Cricetulus griseus: one gene and its partner. The protein of the gene in region 1 binds, or shares a complex with, the protein of each later gene. Links are inferred from orthologs where the notes say so. Each region holds a gene or a part of one and is shown in the gene's direction. Other genes may lie near its edges. The genes, in order: Pola2 and Prim1.

The links.
Region 2: Pola2 (region 1) and Prim1 share a complex: the UniProt entries of both Homo sapiens proteins name them as parts of the alpha DNA polymerase complex. The link is inferred for Cricetulus griseus from reciprocal best matches to the Homo sapiens genes POLA2 and PRIM1.

What each region holds. Positions count from the first base shown.
Region 1 is NC_048596.1:53,379,476-53,383,894, forward strand, and holds the start of Pola2 (DNA polymerase alpha subunit B), read left to right. Parts: upstream 1-1,367; 5' UTR 1,368-1,653; coding exon 1,654-1,732; intron 1,733-3,563; coding exon 3,564-3,688; intron 3,689-4,419. UniProt on the Homo sapiens protein: Accessory subunit of the DNA polymerase alpha complex (also known as the alpha DNA polymerase-primase complex) which plays an essential role in the initiation of DNA synthesis.
Region 2 is NW_023276806.1:129,848,835-129,853,231, reverse strand, and holds the start of Prim1 (DNA primase small subunit), read left to right. Parts: upstream 1-1,438; 5' UTR 1,439-1,504; coding exon 1,505-1,607; intron 1,608-2,258; coding exon 2,259-2,416; intron 2,417-4,397. UniProt on the Homo sapiens protein: Catalytic subunit of the DNA primase complex and component of the DNA polymerase alpha complex (also known as the alpha DNA polymerase-primase complex - primosome/replisome) which play an essential role in the initiation of DNA synthesis.

The sequences.
Region 1 (4,419 bases):
ACCTTAGTGTATATATGTGTGTCACCGCTCTGTAGGAGCTTGTGGAGGCCAGGTATCAGATCCCCTGAAACTGGAGTTAGAGTGCTGGAATCAAACCCAGGTCCTTTTTGAAAGCATTGAGCAAGCACAACAGCTAAGCCGTCTCTATAGCCTGTTTGTTGTTTTTTGTTGGTTTTCTCAGACAGGGTCTCTCTGTGTATGTAGCCTTGGCTGGAACTTGCAGAGGCTCCCATCTCAGTCGTGCTGAGATTACAGGTGTACCCTTCCTTTTGTTGTTGTTGTTGTTTTATTTTTCAAGATAGGGTTTCTCTGTGTAATCCTAGCTGTCCTGGACTCGCTCTGTAGACCATGCTGGCCTCCAACTCAGAGGATCTTCTTGCCTCTGCCTCTGAACGCTGGGCTCACACTGTTTTCTTCAAAGGCTGTCAGTGCTCCATTCCATTCTTAGCACATGGTGTCACAGGTCACTTGATTAAGCCAAACCAATGCAGATTTGGGTTCCAAAAATTAGGAAATAAACTGGGCGTTGGTGGCACATGCCTTTAACTCCAGCACTCGGGAGGCAGGAGCAGGCGGATCTTTGCACGTTCGCGGCCAGCCTAGTCTACAGAGTGAGTTCCGGGGCTGCCAAGGCTGTTGTTACACAGAGAAACCCTGTCTTGAAAAATAAAATAAAATAACTAGGAAATATATCAGGGAGAGAATTCACTCATTTACTGCCCAAGCCAGTGGTTCTCAAACCATGGGTCAGGTCCCCTTTGGGGAATCCAACAACACACACACACAGGTGTCATGTATCAGACAGCCTGCATCTCAGTTATTTACATTGCAACTTATAACAGTAGCAAAATTACAGTTATGAAGTAGTAACGAAATGACTTTACGGCTGTGGGTGACCACAACATTAGAGGGTCCCCGCATTAGAAAGGTTGGGAATGGCCGGGCGGTGGTGGTGGCGCCTTTAGTCCCAGCACTTGCGGATCTTTGTGAGTTCAACGCCAGCCTGGTCTACAAAGCGAGTTACAGGATAGGCTCCAAAGCTACACTGAGAAACCCTGTCTCAAAAAACAAAACCAAAAAAAAAAAAAAAAAAAAAGGAAGAAAGGTTGAGAATCACTGCCACTGCCCTAAGCGCTCCCCTTCAGTGATCTGCCAGGCACGGACGGACAGCGCTTCCTGGCCCATAGAAATGGGACAAACAGGCATGGCAGAGCTTCCCAGCGCAGGCGACCCCTGAAACACACCGCCGCAGCAAGAGGAGGCAGGAACTCTTCTTTCCGCGCCGACCGACGCTCAGCGGGCGCGTTCCGCGCAGGCGCAATGGACGGACCGGCGCGTGCGCGGGGAGGGCCGTGTGGAGCGGTCCTCGCGCAAGCGCGCGCCGGGCTAAGCGTTTGGCGGGTTTTTCCCGGCTGTGCTCCTCACTCAGAAGCTAAGCGGTAGCTTCGGAAGCAAGTTTCCTCTCCGGAACGAGACCTTTCGAGTTTTTGTCGTTGTTGACGTATCTCTCTGTGACCTGCTGGATAGGGTCTTCTGAGGGCTTAGGCCAGTTGTCTCTGGTGGCGCGTCCCTGTCACTTTCCCCCAAAGCGAAAGGATAAGCCTCTGCTGAGCAGACTTGAGCTGAGGCAGCGCCCGGCCCCTCCGGGTCATCATGGCCGTGTCCACCCAGCAGCTGGCGGAGGAGCTACAGATCTTCGGCCTGGACTGCGAGGACGCCCTGATGGAGAAACGTGAGTCCCGAACCGAGGGGGTCCCTTCCAAATTGCATATGCTCGTGGGGTCTTGCTTGGGTCCTGATCAAACAGGAGGTGACACTGCCAAAAGGAGACATTGGGACCGTTTGCAGCTCATACCTAGTCATCTGTTGCTCTATGACTTTTCTCATCAGAGTTGGTTTTTAAAGACAGGGTCTTGCTATGGAGCCCTGGCTGTCATAGAACTCACTATGTAGACCACTTAGCTGGTCTCGAACTCACAGAGATCGCCTGCTGGGATATTAAAGGTGTGCACCACCATGCCTGGCTCATAGTTTTAGTGGTCTGTGCAAATAGAAATTCCTCGAGGTGGATTCCTAATAATTTATTTTTGCTTTGGAAGAAACTTCAGGGAGCTTATTGGCCCCCTCTCTTTATAGATGGAGGAACACAGGCAAGGAGAATTAATTATCTAAGCAGTGTGCCAACCCCAGTCTCTTGCCCTGGAGTCCAGCTCCTCATCATATTGGTCCATAGAGTCCAATGGTGAAGACTTAAATCACACATCTCTTGGAAAATGTGTGTCATCAGAATAGCGCTGTGGGTATACTTGCCTTAACCAATCATCAACACTTTGAACTTCTGATTTTAGGAATTAAAACCGTAGTGTAAGTGGGCTTGTCTGTTATTCCAGCACTTGGGAGAACGAGGCCAGGAGGATCACAGAGAATTCAAAGTCAGCTAGGGCTAGACAGTGAGATCTGTCTGCTTTGCTTTTAAAGTTTAATAATTTGTAATGCATTTCTTCATGGAGACTGAAATAGTCCAAGTCCTTGTGAAGTCTTAAAAATAATCTGTTCTTTCTTTTTAAAATTTCTTGAAATAGGGCCTCTTTTTGTAGCCCAGGCTGGTCTCAAACTAGCAGAGATCACCTAGCTCTGCCTCCTGAGTGCTACAATTATTTATTTTTATGTGAATTAGTGTTGGTCTGTGTGTATACAACTGGGCACATGCATGCAGAGCCCACAAAAGCCAGAAGAGGGAGCCAGCCTCTGGAACTAGAGTTATTGCTGCTTGTATATCATCAGGAGCTTCCCTGGCACCACTCCCGGGTTTCCTTTGGATTTTGTCACCACCACTTCTCGCCTTTGAAGATTCATTTTTATCTTCATGTGAATGGCCAGGACTCAGAACCAGAATCACTTCCGGCTAGATACATTCACTCCTGTGGTGAATCACTTAGTCTTCCTTGATCACTCTCAAGCTGGCTGGTTAGCTTGCTCCAAACATTCCATCTCTGCCTTCCACACACTGGGAAGTAAAGACATGCCACCATGCCCATGTGCTCGTCTTCACGATAGTGTGGCAGGCACTTTACCTGCTGAGGCCTCTCCCCGGCCCCTCGTATGTAAATTGCCAGACTCCTCCTTAGCTCTATAATCCCTTTCCCACCAACTTCATTTTTCTACATCTCATCTTTGAGCATCTAAAGTACCATATACTTTCCTGTCCTGTCTTCCCCTCAGTAGTAAGCTTCCTGTGAATAAAAACAAAAAACTTCTTGGTTTTGTTCACTGCTGTGTTCCCAGGGCCTGTGAATAAGCAGTGACTGGACATCACAGGATTGCTTTGCCTCAATATGAAAGCAAAAAGAAGTGAACTCAAGGGGCTGGAGAGATGGCTTGGAGGTTAAGAACACTGGCTGCTCTTCCAGAGGTCCTGAGTTCAATTCCCAGCAACCACTTGGTGGCTCACAACCACCTGTGATGAGAGCATGCTTGCAGAACACTGTGTACATAATAAATAAGCAAATCTTAAAAAGAAAGAAATGAACTAAGTTCTTCCTTGCCTGTTTCTCTCCCTACAGTGGCGGAACTGTGTGTTCTTTACAGACAGACTGAGGAGGGAATGGTAAGCGAGCTTATTGCCTTCTGCACCAGCACAGGGAAAGTGTGCCTTACTGCAGAGATCCTGAACTCTTTTGAACATGAGGTAAGAGCAAATGTGAGTTAACTAATGTTCTTATGCTGCATGGAGGTGCACAATATATGAAAAGATGCAGGCTGTGGAGTCTGACCTTGATTCTGGTCCCAGTGTGAGCTTGGTCTTCTACTTCTTTTCTTCCCTTCTTCATTTCTTTCTATCATAGTGTCTTGTCTCTTGTGTGTGTGTGTGTGTGTGTGTGTGTGTGTGTGTGTGTGTGCGCGCATTTGTATGCACACCTATGCTAAAGTGTTTAGAGGATAGCCATGAAAAATGGTGTTGGTTTTGAAATGGTGGTGGCACACACCTTTAAGAGAGGCAGAGGCAGTTGGATCTCTGAGTTTGAGGCCAGCCTGGTCTATATAGCGAGTTTCAGAACAGTCAGCCAGGGCTACATAGTGAGCCCCTGTCTTGAGAAGGAAAAGAAAAGTTGATTCTCTCCTTCTACTAAGTAGGTTCTGGGGTTCAAATTCAGGCCATTAGGCTTAGCAGAAAGTGCCTTTGCCCATTAAATCATGTCGCTGGGCCCCTACGTAATATTTCTGAGCCTTGGTTTTTTGGTTTTCTTTTGTTTGTTTGGTTTTTTTTTCTTCTGTCAAGTTCTGATAAACTGTTTTGTTTTGGTTTTTTTGTTGGTTTTTTTTTTGTTGTTGTTGTTGTTGTTGGTTTTTCAAGACAGGATTTCTCTGGCTTTGGATGATGTCCTGGAACTAGCTCTTGTAGACCAGGCTGGTCTCAAA
Region 2 (4,397 bases), on another chromosome or scaffold:
CTCCATGGGCTTCTTCACAAACACAGTGCACATGAAAACTCACGAAGGCAAACACACATTCACAAACTTTTTAAAAAATTAGTCTTTAAAAATTAATTTAAAAATTAAAAATGAGAAAATTAAAATTTTTAAAAAGTTAAAAATATTTTTTAATTAAAATAAATTAGCAATTTTTTTTTTTTTTTTTTTTTTTTGGTTTTTCGAGACAGGGTTTCTCTGTGTAGCTTTGGAGCCTATCCTGGCCCTCGCTCTGGCGACCAGGCTGGCCTCAAACTAACAGAGATCCACCTGCTTCTGCAAAAATTTTAAAGTATGATTTTCAAGTGACGAAATATTGATGAGTTATCAGACTGCCCACCTAGTCCATAACTGTAAGACACGTCTTGACATAGGAAGACTGACTGGCAGATTAACACATCAATAGCAAATATGCTTTCTTCATTTTTTTTAATGTTCTTCAACTTCCTTCTAATTCATATTTTAGTATTCCTGGGTGTTCTGTTTGAAAGACTAAATATATAGGCCGTGGCCAGAGAGTACATAAAGTAGAATTCTAAATGGAATGGAATTGAGAACGCATTAATGAATCTATGTTGTTTATAGCCAACTGATTTTTTTGGAAAAGACGTTAAGAACATACATTGGAGAAAAGACATTTTCAGTAAATGTTACTGATAAAATTAGATATCCGTATGCAGAAAAATAAAACAAGACCCCCACGTCTCACCAAGTACAAAAGCCAACTTCGATGAAAATGGGTCAAAGACAGTGGTATGGTGGTGCACAGCTGTAATTCCAGCGCGGGAAGGCAGACGTGGAAGAATCATTGCAAACTGAAGGCCAGCATGGTCTGCTGGTTGTGCTAGCCAGAGCTACACAGCAAGAAGCTGTCTTTTTTAAAAAAGGAAAGGGGAAGCTGGGTGGTGGCAGTACACACTTTTAATCCCAGCACTCAGGAGGCAGAGGCAGGGCAATCTCTGTGAGTTCGAGGCCAGCCTGTTCTAAAGAGTAAGTGAGTTAGTTCCAGGACATCCAGGGATGTTACATAGAGAAACCCTGTCTCAAAAAACGAACAAACAAAAAACCAGCCTGGTGACATACAGTAATGATCTCAGCACTTGAAATTCAGAAGCATGAGAAATCTCTAATTTGAGGCCAACCTGGACAAACAAAGCAAGACTCTGTATTTTAAAAAATACATATTTAAAATAATAGAACACAGTAAATGTTAATGCAAAATTAAACAAATAAAAAAAAAGAACTCTGAGCTATGCTTTCAACCACTGCTCAAAAAAAACTAAGTTCTTTGTCGTTATGTTGTTTTGTTTTTCCAGGCAATGTCTCCGAACTCGCCCACCCAAAAAAAGAGCAAGAGCTGCGGGACTCTCAAGAACTACAATTCCCGGCAGTCCCTGCGGCGGCGCGCCACGACTTGGATGCGTGCACAGCCGCGGAGCCCTGAGTCGTTCCCGCCAATTCTCGTGTCTGTCTAGTTCCTGACTTCATGGAGCCGTTTGATCCTGCCGAGCTGCCGGAGCTACTGAAGCTATATTACCGACGCCTCTTTCCCTACGCCCAGTACTATCGCTGGCTCAACTATGGCGGAGGTGAAGGAGGCTGGAGCGGGGTGGGGAGTGGGGCTGGGAGCCGTGTGCGGGAAGATTCTGGGAGAGATGTCCTCACATGACTGTCGGGTGCCTTCCTGCACCGTCTCCATCCCGCCTCACCACCTCTGAGGTACGGAAAGACAGGTGGACCTAGCCACACTGTTAAAAGAACGGGGCCAGCAGCAAGCGGGTGTTAGCATGGAGGCGCGCAGGTGTGACCTGCAACCAGGTGCTGGGAAGAAAGACACTTTCACAGCTAGGGCTGTTTAAGGCCCACCGATGAAAGGCATTGCGTCTTTTAAAATATTTGCACCTCCTGTTCATTGTTCTCTAGCAAATGTGGAGTGGTACGTCCCTTCAAATTGCAGACTAAGTAGAACAAGAGCACTCATAAAAATATTCTAGATAGCCTGGTGACTCACACCTGTAATCCTTACCTTTGTGAGGCTGAGGTAGGTGAATTTTCATGAGTTCAAGGCCAACCTGGGCTACACAGTAAATTCTAGGGCAGCCTAGTCTACACAGTAAGACCCTATTGTGTGTGTGTGTGTGTGTGTGTGTGTGTGTGTGTGTGTGTGTGTATAGTCCCATTAGTTGAGATTATGTAATGCCCTAAACTGAATAAAGTACCAAATTAAAATTATTTTGCAGTGACAAAGAATTACTTTCAACACCGTGAATTTTCATTCACACTGAAAGATGATATTTACATTAGATACCAGTCCTTCAGCAACCAGAGTGAGCTGGAAAAGGAGATGCAGAAAATGAATCCATACAAGATTGATATCGGTGCTGTATATTCTCACAGAGTAAGGAATCTTTTTTGTGTGTTTTGTTTCGTAGGCCAGAGTGAATTGATACCCCCAAGTTTTGAAGGTCATGTTTTAGAGTTTGTTATGATTGATCAAACACACTGGTTTTGCCTGGCATGCATGGACTCTTGGGTTCCATAAACCAAGTGTGTTGGTGCATTACCTATAACCCAGTGAAAAGGAAGAGGAGGCCAGAGGATCAGATGTCTAAGCCCTTCTTAGCTGCAAAGGAATTGGAGGCCAGTTTGAAATACATGAGACCATGTCTTTAAAATGGAAGAAGAAAATTCTTGCTGGGGTGGTGACGCACTCCTTTAATTCCAGAGACAGGCAGATCTCATCTACAGAGTTAGTTCCAGGACAGCCAGGGCTGCAAGAGAAACCCTGTCTCTGAAAACAAACAAAAAACCTTTGATTTGATTGGCTAAAAGAGAAAAATAAAATAAATCTATATTTGAAAACAGTAAGCCTGAGGCTGAGGAGATATCACAGTTGTTAAAGTGTTTGGGGACCTGACTTGAGAATCCCTCAGTACCCATGTCCTGAGGCAAAGACAAGCGAATCCCTTGAGTTTGCTGGCCAGCCAGAGTAGTGGAATCAGGGAGCTCCAGGTTCAGGAAGAGACCCAGTCTCACTGAGGTGGAGAGTGGTTGAATACCTGACTTCAACCTCTGACATATATACATGCATCTGCACAGATGAAACAATTAAGTATAGAAGTTTTTATTAAGTTTCTCAGAAAAGGATCTGGGATATAGATTAGATGAATGTGTTCTGGCAGACCCTACGTTAAATCCGTACCAGATCCCTGTTGCACCAGGGGTCGGAAACTAATGTTATTCTCTCTCTAATGCATGAGACCTGGGAGCTCTTAAGATTTTCTGGTAACCTTTCTTTCCCTAGTTCTAAAACTATACAACTGTACACTTTGGTATTGTCTGTTCTGATAGGTATTGAATGGACCCTTACCACACTCATGGTCTTCAATTGTGGGGTAGCTATACTTTTTCTAAATATCCCAACCTTTTTCTTTGAAATACCTTATTTCTAGGGATTTCAATGGTAATTTATTAAAGCCTATTTTATACTTAACTCCACTTCCCCCATTCATAATATTCCTGCTTCTGCCTCCTGAGTTGCTGGAATTTACTAAAGTACCCGGCTACAGACATGATGTTTTTACTGGAAAGTGGTCTGGCCGAGCCATATTCTTAGGGACTCTGTGCTAAGTTTCTCTAGGTCTTTGTCAGAATAATATCTCCACTAGCATAGTGATCTTTGTTTAGTCACTGACCTATCCCTAGAGCCCAACACATCTGGTCAGATTCTTTAGAAAAGAGTCTAGTCTGCTGCCTGGGTTGGAAGTGGAAAGCAACAGACATAAGGAGAAAGGACTGGGTCCCTGGCTGAGGAGATGGCTCAATAGGAAGAAAACTTGCTTTGGACCTGAGTTCAAACCTCCAGCATTCACATAAGAGCTGGTTGTGTCTACACTTACACCTATAACCTCAGTACTATGGAGGGCAGAGGCAGGAGGATCGCTGGGGTTTTCTGGCAATCAGCCAAACTCCACGTTCTGTGAGAGACCCTGTCTCTAGGGAATGAAATGGAGAAGTAATCAAGTAGAACACCTAACATCCCATGCATGTGTATACTACACACACACACACACTCTCTCTCTCTCTCTCTCTCATACATAGACATAAAAATAGATACAATTTAAAAGAAAGGGCTAAATATTAGCATTTCATATAAAAATACATGGTTAATCTCTCTATAATATATCCTTTTTCAACTGTGCCTTTTGTCCCCCAAGTCTAAAGACCCTCTTTTATATTTTCCAAGTAACAGTTCAGGTACCTTCTGTGAGGGCTGTGGAGGAGCAGTCACTTAACTCTGTAGGGTGTGGCAGGGACTGGGGGGTGGCTCCTTTGATTGTTTGCCCAGCATGGAAGCTCAGGACTCTAGGACTACATAT